Macaca fascicularis: one gene and its partners. The protein of the gene in region 2 interacts with the protein of the main gene of each other region in a pairwise test. Links are inferred from orthologs where the notes say so. Each region holds a gene or a part of one and is shown on either strand. Other genes may lie near its edges.

Evidence for each region.
Region 1: the proteins of REEP6 (region 2) and SNX15 interact in binary tests that used the Homo sapiens proteins (3 or more experiments, as listed by UniProt). The two-hybrid records come from large-scale screens. The link is inferred for Macaca fascicularis from reciprocal best matches to the Homo sapiens genes REEP6 and SNX15.
Region 3: the proteins of REEP6 (region 2) and PTPN9 interact in binary tests that used the Homo sapiens proteins (3 or more experiments, as listed by UniProt). The two-hybrid records come from large-scale screens. The link is inferred for Macaca fascicularis from reciprocal best matches to the Homo sapiens genes REEP6 and PTPN9.

What each region holds. Positions count from the first base shown.
Region 1 is NC_088388.1:9,343,328-9,346,971, reverse strand, and holds part of SNX15 (sorting nexin-15), read left to right. Parts: intron 1-1,576; coding exon 1,577-1,612; intron 1,613-1,840; coding exon 1,841-1,961; intron 1,962-3,644. UniProt on the Homo sapiens protein: May be involved in several stages of intracellular trafficking. Overexpression of SNX15 disrupts the normal trafficking of proteins from the plasma membrane to recycling endosomes or the TGN.
Region 2 is NC_088393.1:2,086,543-2,090,286, reverse strand, and holds the start of REEP6 (receptor expression-enhancing protein 6), read right to left. Parts: upstream 2,670-3,744; 5' UTR 2,588-2,669; coding exon 2,473-2,587; intron 1-2,472. Other genes in the region: PCSK4 (proprotein convertase subtilisin/kexin type 4), read left to right, coding at 3,529-3,717. UniProt on the Homo sapiens protein: Required for correct function and survival of retinal photoreceptors. Required for retinal development.
Region 3 is NC_088381.1:52,800,132-52,803,875, reverse strand, and holds the start of PTPN9 (tyrosine-protein phosphatase non-receptor type 9), read left to right. Parts: upstream 1-1,611; 5' UTR 1,612-2,306; coding exon 2,307-2,369; intron 2,370-3,744. UniProt on the Homo sapiens protein: Protein-tyrosine phosphatase that could participate in the transfer of hydrophobic ligands or in functions of the Golgi apparatus.

The DNA of each region.
Region 1 (3,644 bases), on a different chromosome or scaffold from region 2:
CCAGCAATCTTTCTTACCTAGTGTGTGATCTTCTATGGCCACACCTCTCAAAGCCTCTATTTCCTTATCTCTTAAATGGGCATGTTAATTGTGTCTGCCTCAGTGGGATCTAGGATAAGGAATAGATGTTTTTATTTATTTATTTAGTGTGTAAGAGACAGGGTTTCACTCTGCAGTCTGGAGTGCAGTGGTGTGATCTCAGCTCATTGCAACCTCTGCTTCCCATGCTCAAGTGATCCTCTCACCTCAGCCTTCCAAGTAGCTGGGACTACAGGTGTGCCACATCACCACACCCAGCTAATTTTGTGTATTTTTTGCCGCTATTGGGTGTCACTATGTTGCCCAGGCTGGTCTCAAACTCCTGGACTCAAGTGATCTGCCCACCTGGGTCCCCTAAAGTGCTGGCATTACAGGCTTGAGCCACCGTGCCTGGCATAGGATATATTATTAAACTGTCAAGTACCCTAAACCATAGGGCATTATTTTAAAATTATTATGAACATAACATGATGAAAACTGAATCTCGTTTTCACTTCAGACCCAAGTCTGCCCTTCCAGAGACCTCAGCTCCAGCGATGGTTTCTTCTGTGTCCAGGGCGCTGAAGCACAGGACCTTCTCCCTCAGGGAAGGAGGTTCCTGAGGCAGAACCTCCCTTCTTTTTTTTTTTTTTTTTTTTGAGACGGAGTCTCACGCTGTTGCCCAGGCTGGAGTGCAGTGGCGCGATCTCGGCTCACTGCAAGCTCCGCCTCCCGGGTTCACGCCATTCTCCTGCCTCAGCCTCCTGAGTAGCTGGGAATACAGGCGCCCGCCACCGCGCCTGGCTAATTTTTTGTATTTTTAGTAGAGACGGGGTTTCACTGTGGTCTCGATCTCCTGACCTTGTGATCCGCCCGCCTCGGCCTCCCAAAGTGCTGGGATTACAGGCTTGAGCCACCGCGCCCGGCCAGAACCTCCCTTCTTTGGAGACTTGGGGTTCTTTGGTTTCAGAAGGAGATGCAGGGCCATTGCCTGTTCAAGGAACCGGGATAAAAATTGTGCTGATGGCCGGGTGCTCACGCCTGTAAGTGTGAGGCCGAGGTGGGCGGATCACTTGAGGTCACGAGTCCAGACCAGCTTGGCCAACATGGTGAAACCCCATCTCTACTAAAAATACAAACATTAGCAGGCGTGGTGGTGCATGTCTGTAATCCCGGCTTCTTGGGAGGCTGAGGCAGGAGAATCGCTTGAACCTTGAAGGCAGAGGTGGTAGTGAGCTGAGAGTGCACCACTGCACTTCAGCCTGGGCGGCAGAGCAAGACTCCATCTCAAAAAAAAAAAGTTGGGCTGAGGTTGGAGCAGTCCAGACGGGCCTTTAGAGGTCCTTCTATTTGACAGATGGAGAAACTGAGGTACATAGTAGGAAAAGTTTCTAAAATTATATGGAAAGGCTTAAAGCCAGGATGCCTTGAAGCCAGAGGCCAAAGGCCAAAGGCCATTGCCCCATGAGGGGGACTGGGAGGCACCTGGGGCAAACAGGGTGAGAGGGTGTCAGATGGCGGTCTCTGGTCTCAACCAGCTCTTGCCTTTCTTTCTCAGTTCATCTCAAAGAAGGACCCAGAGGATGTCAAAGAGGTGAGGCTCCTGGGAGGAAGAGGGCCCATTCTGCAGTTCCAGATCTGGAAACTGTCAAGGGGCAGCTGGTAACTCTGCTTGGACACCGGCCCTCCTTCCTCCCTGTCCCTGGGCAAGGGGCTGCTGCAGCTGCATCCTGATCCTCACCCACCCTGGGGGCAGGCTGGGCACCGGGGGCGGCTGCCTCCCACCATTGCCGGTTCTGGGCAAGTCTCATGTCCCTCGTAGGTGGTGGTCTGGAAGCGGTACAGCGACTTCCGCAAGCTGCATGGAGACCTGGCCTACACCCACCGCAACCTCTTCCGCCGCCTTGAGGAGTTCCCTGCGTTCCCCCGGGCCCAGGTGTTCGGTGAGTGTTAGATCGGGGCACTCAGGCCAAAGATGAAGGGAGCGTTGGACAAAAGGGGACCTCTGCCAGTGGGGGCTGGATAGAGAGGGCCTGAAACTCTGGGCAGAGACATGTTTGGAAGGGCTTTTAGAGATGACCTCATTTGACAGATGGGGGAACTGAGGCTCAGAGCAGCCTAACACTTACTGTGTATTGCACCTTTTAACATTCCTGTTGGGCCAGGCGTGGTGGCTCACACCTGTAATCCTAGCACTTTGGGAAGCCGAGGTGAAACTCCATCTCAAAAAAAAAACAACAAAAATCCTGTCTTTATTAGCTCTATTTTATTTTCCTTTTTTTTCAATTTTTTGTTGTTGTTGACAGCCTCTCTTTGTCACCCAGGCTGGAGTGTAGTGGTGTTATCTTGGCTCACTGCAACCTCCACCTTCCAGGTTCAAAGGATTCTCCTGCATCAGTCTCCTGAGTAGGTGGGATTACAGGTGCACACCACCATACCTGGCTAATTTTTGTATTCTTAGTAGAGACGGAGTTTCATCACATTGGCCAGGCTGGTCTTGAACTCCTGACCTCAGCTGCTCTGCCCGCCTTGGCCTCCCAAAGTGCTGGGATTACACACCTGAGACACTGCACCTAGCCTATCTCAATACTTACTATATTGATTACATGTTGCAGTGAGAATATTTGGGATATATTGGGTTAAATAAAATATTAGCCGGGCGCGGTGGCTCAAGCCTGTAATCCCAGCACTTTGGGAGGCCGAGACGGGCAGATCACGAGGTCAGGAGATCAAGACCATCCTGGCTAACATGGTGAAACCCCGTCTCTACTAAAAAATACAAAAAACTAGCCGGGCGAGGTGGCGGGTGCCTGTAGTCCCAGCTACTCGGGAGGCTGAGGCAGGAGAATGGCGTAAACCCAGGAGGCGGAGCTTGCAGTGAGCTGAGATCCGGCCACTGCACTCCAGCCTGGGCGACAGAGCGAGACTCCGTCTCAAAAAAAAAAAAAAAAAAAAATTAAAATTAACTTGTGGCTGGGCGTGATGGCTCACACCTGTAATCCCAGCACTTTGGGAGGCTGAGGCAAATGAATCACGAGATCAGGAGTTCGAGACCAGCCTGGCCAACTTGGTGAAACCCTGTCTCTACTAAAAATACAAAAAATTAATTGGGTGTAGTGGCGGGCGCTTGTAAACTCAGCTACTCAGGAGGCTGAGGCAGGAGAATCGCTTGAACCTGGGAGGCCAAGATTGCGTCGTTGCAGTCTAGCCCGGGCGACAGAGTGAGACTCCGTCTCAAAAAAAAAAAAAAAAAGTTGTTTCTTTTTTCCTTTTATTTAATGTAGCTGCTAGAAAATGTAAAATTGCATATGTAGCTCATATCTGTATTAGACAGTGCTGAACAGTTGCTCGCGTCTGCGTACTCACGTGAGATGTTCTTTGTTGTTGTTGGTTTTTGTTTTTGTTTTTTGAGACAGAGTCTTACTCTGTCACCCAGGCTGGAGTCCTGTGGCATGATATCAGCTCACTGCAAACTCTGCCCTCCCAGGTTTGAGTGATTCTCCTGCCTCAGCCTCCCAAGTAGCCAAGTAGCCTCCCAAGTAGTGTGCGCCACCACACCTAATTTTTTTACTTTTAGTAGAGACGGGGTTTCACCATGTTGGCCAGGCTGGTCTTGAACTCCTAAC
Region 2 (3,744 bases):
TTAGTAGAGACGGGGTTTCACCATGTTGGCCAGGCTGGTCTCAAATTCCTGACCTCAGGTGATCCGCCCGCCTCGGTCTCCCAAAGTGCTGGGATTCCAGGCGTGAGCCGCCGCGACCTGCCCTTCTCCACATTTATTAAGTGCCTTCAGGCAACAATAACACAGTCCCAGCAAGGAGGGTGTTCAGAGAAAAAGGTGTGTGTGTCCAGCTCAGCCCCAATCCTGAACCTGGCTCTGAAAAGAATGATGACGACAGCTGCATTTATTAAGCGCCTATTGTGTGCCAGGTTTTGTGCTTTCCCTGAATTATCTTATTCAGAACTGGGGGTGGGTGGGTGTTGCCCAAGGTCACACAGGGAACCCCCGTGCTTCAGAGAGCTTGGACAGCCTCCTTCCTCCTCCCCTGGAGCTGCTATCTGCAGAGTGAGATAGAGGCTGCTTCCGGACCAAAGGGCAGAGGCCCAAGTCCCTCCCAGCCCCTCCTACCTGCTTTAGTCTTTATCCACAAGCACCTGAGGTCACGGGTAGGCGGAGTCCCCCAGCTGGGAGGCTGTGTGGCCTCCCGGTCACTGTCTCCTCTGAGTTTCTTCGTATGTTACCCAGGGGTGTGGGATTTGTCGATTTAAATGAGGTGGGAGAAGGGGGATGAGGGAATGCTACCTCTCCCCAGGCCTGGCTTGTGGGGAGGAGTGACTCTCCCAGGGTGTCCCTCCCTTAAATCCCTGTTCCTGCAGCTTCAGCAACGGGAGGATGACCTTGGACATCAGAACTGTGGAGGGGGGCCCAGCCCCCACGATTAGCAGCAGATGGGACTGGGAGTGGGCGGGGTGGAGGGGTGTACGCCTCAGACACAACAGGCGCAGAGGAAACTGTGCCTCAGTTTCCTCTCTGGTGACACAGTGCCCCAGCCAGCCCCTCCCTGCTGCCTGCCTCCTGGGCGCTCTGTGACCTAAATTCCTGCCCACTGGCCCCAGGGATGTGGAAAGGGAGGGCAGAGGCCAGGGACCTGCTCCCGGGGGCAGGCACAGCCAGGCCATGCCCATGCCACCTGCTGCACTGCACATGGGACCAGGCACCTGGGGACCTCCAGGGTCTGGACACAGATTTCAGACTGTTCTCAGGCTGCCTGGCATGGGAACCCCCAGATGGTGGGAAAATGGAGGGGGGGACTGGACTCCGGGGATCCACCTGCAGAAGGTGCTCAAAAAAGTGGCACTGTCCTCTACCCAGAACACCCCAGGCCCAGATCAAGTCCTTTCAAGTCATTCTGCGGAGCTTCCTGGAAGAGAAGGCAGAGCCAGTGGGGCTGGGAGCAGTGGCTCCCACGTAAATCCCAGAGCTTTGGGAGGCTGAGGCAGAAGGATCGCTTGAGCCCAGGAGTTTGAGACCAGTCTGGGTAACATAGTGAGACCCTGTCTCTTAAAAAAGTTAACTTTAAAAAGTTTTAGGCCAGGCAAGGTGGCTCACACCTGTAATCCCAGCACTTTGGGAGGCTGAGGTGGGCGGATCACCTGAGGCCAGGAGTTCGAGACCAGCCTGGCCAACATAGTGAAACCCCGTCTCTACTAAAAATACAAAAATTAGCCGGGCATGGTGACCTGCGTCTGTAATCCCCGCTGCGCAGGAGGCTGAGGCAGGAGAATCGCTTGAACCCAGGAGGCAGAGGTTGCAGTGAGCTGAGATTGCACCACTGCACTCCAGCCTGTGCGGCAGGGCAAGACTCGATCTCAAAAAAAAAGTTTTAAAGGTGGGGAGAGAGGCATTTAAGGAGCGCTTACTACATGCTCTTGCTGTAGTTTTGGAAAGGCGAAGGGGCGCGGCGTCACCAAGGGTGAAAGGCCCGGAAGAACTGTAATGGAGTCACAATCGGGGTGCCTGGATCTCCCGCTCTGTGGGCCCCAGTCCAACCTCCCCACATCACAGCTGTCAGACAACCCAACTCCGTCTTAACAAATATTTACGCGCGGTGGCACTAAGCCATTGAGCGGGGCAAGGTGAGCTAGGGCAGGAGAGGAGGAGGAGAGGAGAGTCCTGAGCAGCCCCCCGGGACGGTCCGTTCCCCTCCCCGCCTGGAGCCTCCCCTCGGAAAAACGGGAAGATCTCCACTGTTGCAGCCAGGTCGGGGTCCACGGGGGGAGGGGGACGGCGAAACGTGCAGGACACTGGCATCCTGGCCTCTCCGGGGCCACTGGGCAACTGGAAGAACCGGACTTCGGCATGGCAGGCACCCAGCGCCCAGAAGGAGGCGGCGGGGGACGGCCAGGGATGGAAGCTAGAGAGGGGTGGCTCGGGAGCAGGGTCGCAGGGCGCGGGCAAGGGAGGAGTTGCGGGTGGACCTCGAAGTCCCGGTCACCCCGCGCGCTCTACGAGCAGGACCGGACCCCGTAGCCGGGGAGGGAGTCAGACCTGCGACCCCCGGGCCCATGGCCTCAGTGTGCCCGTTGGCGAAACGGGCTAGCGCCGACGGCTCACCTGCAGCCAGATACCGCTTCTCCAGCCCGGTCTTGGCCTCCAGCGCCCCCAGCACGTCGGTGACCAGGTTCCTTTGCTCCAGGAAGCGCTCCACGCGCTGGCTCAGGCCGTCCATGGCCCCGACGCGCCCGGGGTTGGCTGCTCGAGCTCGCCCGCGGACCCGCGCACCCACTCCGCTGCACGCGCGCCGCTTTCCCGCAGCCTGAGCCGCGCTGCTCCGGCCCGGCGCCGGTGTCCGCCCCCGGCCCCCCGCCCGGACCAATGGGAGGGCAGGGCGGACAAAGGAGGTGGGGCCTGCCCCGTCTCCCCCGCCGCATAGCCCTCCGCCCGCTGCCGCCGCTGCCCAGACCCCGCCGGGAGAGGGCGGGGCGCGCCGGCCCAGGGCACCGATTGGCCGGGCCAGAGCGAGACGTAGCTGATTGGAAGGGCGGCGTCAGGGGACGGGATTATTGGCTGCGACACTGAGGGGGTGGAGCCAGGGCGATGAGAGGCGCGGGTGGGGGCGGAGCCGGTGGGTGGGGCTAAAGAAAAATCCGAGCCGATTGGAGAAACGGGACGCGATTCATTGGCGAGAGCAGTGGAGGGCGGGGCTGATCACAAAGGAGGCAGGTTGGAATGGTAGGGGCGGGAACGGGGCGGGGCTTATCGGGGGAGGCGGGATTACTCGAAAGAATGATTCTGATTAGCCCGGATAGGAGGCCGGGCTGATTCTCGAAGGAGGGGTGTGTTGGAAAGTGGGCGAGGCCAAAGAAAGGGTAGGACGCGTTACTGCAACAGTGAACCCGCTTCTCTGGGTTAGTCTTGTCGTTGTACAAATGGGAAAACTGAGGCTCCCGAAGGTGTGGGTCTGCGGGAGACGGGCAGGCGTGCGTCCCTGCCCCGCTTCTGTCAGATCTTCGCGCCCGTCTTGGCTGAGTAGCCGCAAGGCCCCCTGGGAGTCGAAGCCTTCCGCGTTGCTATGGAGCCGGGGGCTGAGAGGACGCCTGGGTCCACTCGGCGGTTTGGCGGGAGGGAGGGGCTTTGCGCAGGCCCCGCCCCCGGCCCCGCCCCGCCTCCATGCGGCCCGCCCCGATTGCGCTGTGGCTGCTCCGGGTCTTGGCCCTGGCCCTCGTCCGCCCCCGGGCTGTGGGGTGGGCCTCGGTCCGAGCCCCCATCTATGTCAGCAGCTGGGCCGTCCGGGTGTCTCAGGGTAACCGGGAGGTCGAGCGCCTGGCACGCAAATTCGGCTTCGTCAACCTGGGGCCGGTGGGTGGGACCGGGATGGACGGGAAG
Region 3 (3,744 bases), on a different chromosome or scaffold from region 2:
TTTCGGGAAGGGCTGTTATCAATTTTGTTTCAGAGTCAAACCATGAACTGAGTTCCTTCCCCAAGTTAGTTCGGCCTATGCCCAGGAATGAACAAGGACAGCTTAAGGGTTAGAAGCAAGATAGAGTCAGGTCTGATTTCTTTCACTGTCATAAAATCCTCAGTTATAATTTTGCAAAGGCGGTTCACCAGGAGTTTGAGACCAGCCTGGGCAACATAGCAAGACCCCCATCTCTACAAAAAATTTAAAAAAAAAAATTAGCCAGGTGCAGTGGTGTGCACCTGTAGTCCTACCTACTCAGGAGGCTGAGGCAGGAGGATTGCTTGAGCCCAGGACTTTGAGGCTGCAGTGAGCTGTGATCACGCCACTGCACTCCAGCCTGGGCAACAAAGTGAGACACTGTTCAAAACAAAACAAAAAAAGAAACCTTGGGAGGCCGAGGCCGGCAGATCACAAGGCAGGAGAATGGCGTGAACCCGGGAGGCGGAGCTTGCAGTGAGCTGAGATCCGGCCACTGCACTCCAGCCTGGGCGGCAGAGCGAGACTCCGTCTCAAAAAAAAAAAAAGCCGGGCGCGCGGTGGCTCACGCCTGCCTGTAATGCTGGCACTTTGGGAGACCGAGGCGGGCGGATCACGAGGTCAGGAGTTCGAGACCAGCCTGACCAACATGGTGAAACCCTGTCTCTACTAAAAATACAAAAATTAGACGGGCGTGGTGGCGCGCACCTGTAATCCCAGCTGCCCAGGAGGCTGAGGCAGGAGAATCGCTTGAACCCGGGAGGCGGAGGTTGTAGTGAGCCGGGATGGCGTCACTGCACTCTAGCCTGGGCGACACAGTGAGACTCAGTCTCAAAAAAAAAAAAAAAAAGAAAAAAGAAAAAAAAATCGTGGGAGCATCACAACTCACAGCACCCTCCTGTTGTGTGAAGGCCCCTCCTTTGGGTCTCTCACAGGACTGGCTCCAGGGCTTCAGCCTTGGAACTAGTTGTGGACTTCTCTGAGTCCCTTTGGAATATTTATCTTTGGCTTGGAATAATGCAACAACATACTAGACCCAGCCTTGCCTTCTCTATGCCCCATTCCTCCCCAAATGATTCCAAGAGTGTACACCTAATCCTGAATCCTTTGCTGCACTTGCCCTAGTGAAAATCAAAGGTCTGCAAAGGCCGCGTCATTCCTGAATGAGGTTCGGAGTCTGATGTTTCTGTGGGGGATTAACATTAACTACACTGGAGAAGAATTACAGGATACAGCCAGTAAGGAGGGAGAGAGAGGGAGGCAGGTGCGATTCCTTCCACCTAAGCTTCCTGGCCTGGCAGGCAACCTTTCCAGGGTCTTTCAGGCTGCAAGCGACAAATAGATGAGGATTGTGGGTTTCTCACGCGTAGGTGGCAGCGGCAAGTTAACCCCAGGAGAGGTGCCAGTCAGCAGATAATTTGCAAACGAATGTATTCTCCTCCTCCTCCGAAGATCTGAGCCTCACGAAATACACTCTTTTCTTCCTTTTCCTCCCTCCCGCAGTCGAGTCGCCTTCCGTCCTGCTAGGGTCCCCTCCCCGCCCGGGTCCCCTCCCCCGCCCGGGCTCCTCTCTGTCTCCCCCTCCCGGACGGCGTCCTCGCTCCGCTGGGCCCTCCTCGCCACCAGCTTGTGAATGAGACGCTCAGTTTCTCAATGGAGCCGCGGGGGGCTCGGGCGGCCGCGGGGCGGCCGCAGCGTTGGCCGTGAGCCAGGAGGGGGGCGCGTTTCCCTCTACCTCTTCGCTCCCTCCCTCTCGCTGCGGCCGCCCGCAAGGAGCCTGGCTGAGGCAGCCGCGCAGGTCGCAGGGCCAGCGTCCGCGAGGACGGCCCGGCTGGGCGGCCCCGAGTGCTGTGGCGCTGTGGAGAAGCGGGAGTGCGGCCGAGGAAGCGGGGCGCCGAGGGGGCCGGCGGCCTTCGTGAAATTTCCGCCGACCCTTCGCTCCCGGCTCTAAAAGTTCCTGATTTCCGATTTCCTTTTAAATCCCGAGCGGCTGTTAGCTCTTCGCCTGCACTTTTTCTTCCCCAGGAGATAAGGGGGAGTGTGAGGAAAGGAGCGAATAATATAAAAAAGGATTTCCTCCCGGAAGAGAGGGGCAGTTCGGAGAGATTTTTCTTAAAGAAGCAGAAGCGGCGTTTGCGGCTGCTGCGGGCGCCGGGCCCTGGCCGGCCCCACCATGCTCGAGCCTGCCCGGGGCTGCTGAGGCGCGGGGACGCGGAAGCGGAGGCCGAGCGTGCCGGGCTCCCGCGCTCGCGAGCGAGTTCTGTCCGCCCGGCGGCGGTGGCTGGGGGATGGAGCCCGCGACCGCGCCCCGGCCCGACATGGCGCCGGAGCTGACCCCGGAGGAGGAGCAGGTAAGCGGGCCCGAGGCCGCCACGGTGGGTGTGTCCGGGCCCCCGAGGCCTACGCCGGCCTCTGCCTCCCAAGCCCCGGCTCTTTGCAGCCACGGGCCCGCAGCGCCCCCGCTCCCGTGCCCGGCCCGCGGGCCTCCCTCACCGGCGACCGCGCCCCAGGCCGCCACCCCCTCGTCAGTGCACCCACGGGACCCTGCTCCAGTTCCTGCAGCTTCTTTCCCCGAGGCTTACGGGCCTCAGACGGTGCCCTCCCTACCCCACCCCCCATTCCAGGGGCAAAGTTCTTTGGATCCAGGGGCCTCCTTCCTGAGGTTTGCAGAACCGCTGCTTGCCCCCGGCCTTTCCACTCCCTTGTAAATGTTTTCCGTGAGGGTTTGTGGCTTTTGAAGGGTAGGAAAAGCCCCAGTTTGGGGGGTGCTTCCTGTGGGGATTATCTCCCTTCCCGAGGAGAGGGCTGAGAGTATTGGATGCATAGATGCCCTAGATTTTCAGAGGAGCCTCTTAGGTTTCTCAGGCCCACTGGGGCAGGTTCTGGAAGATCCAGCCCTTCTCGTGCTTCTAAAGTTCCTGGCCTTGACTCTCCTATTCAGCTATCCCAGACGGGGAGCATCTCTTCACCCCTGCTTCCCTACCCCCGTCTCATCTGACTGTCATCATCTTTCTGAAGCTTACATTGAGCTCTATTGTTCCTTAAAAGCCTATGACCTTTAGTTCTCAGAAGGAAGTGTTTTGCTGTCTCATTTTGGGGGCCCTTGTAACTTTCCCTCCCGCACATTCCAGCTGCAGAGACAGGGACCACTCCTGAGGAAGATGGGAAGGTCTGCTAGCTTAGATTGGGAACCCTACGGGCTTTTCGCTGTCTCTTCCTTGGCAGTGCCTATACCCCGCCATAGCTATGCTCCATTATAGTCATAGTCTGATTCCATGTTATAAATAAAAAAATAAAAATAAACATGAAAAACGAAAAAGGCAAACCATGCTGGCAACCCATTTCAAGCTCTACAGCCGTTGTTTCCAAGGACCACATTTGCTAGCACAGCCTCTAGTGTGAAGACAGTCTAGTTTTACAAACTATTATTGGCTAATGGGCTTGTTGACCTGATTTTTTAAAGTCCTTGTCTTTTCTCCTCATTTGTAGAGATGACATTTTTCTATTTGGCCTCAGGCCACGGTTTTGCCTTTTGACACCTGGTGATGAAATCAGTATGGGAAAAAAATTTAAAGAGAATTCTGCTTTGTACAAGCAGTGGTAATGAATGTCCTGGTAATTGCAGTTGGATGTTAATAAAATGCTAGTCAGGCCCTAGTGCAAGCAGGTGGCCATGGAGCCCATCCTGCCAGAATTGGAAAGTACTTCAGTACTAACATAGGACGT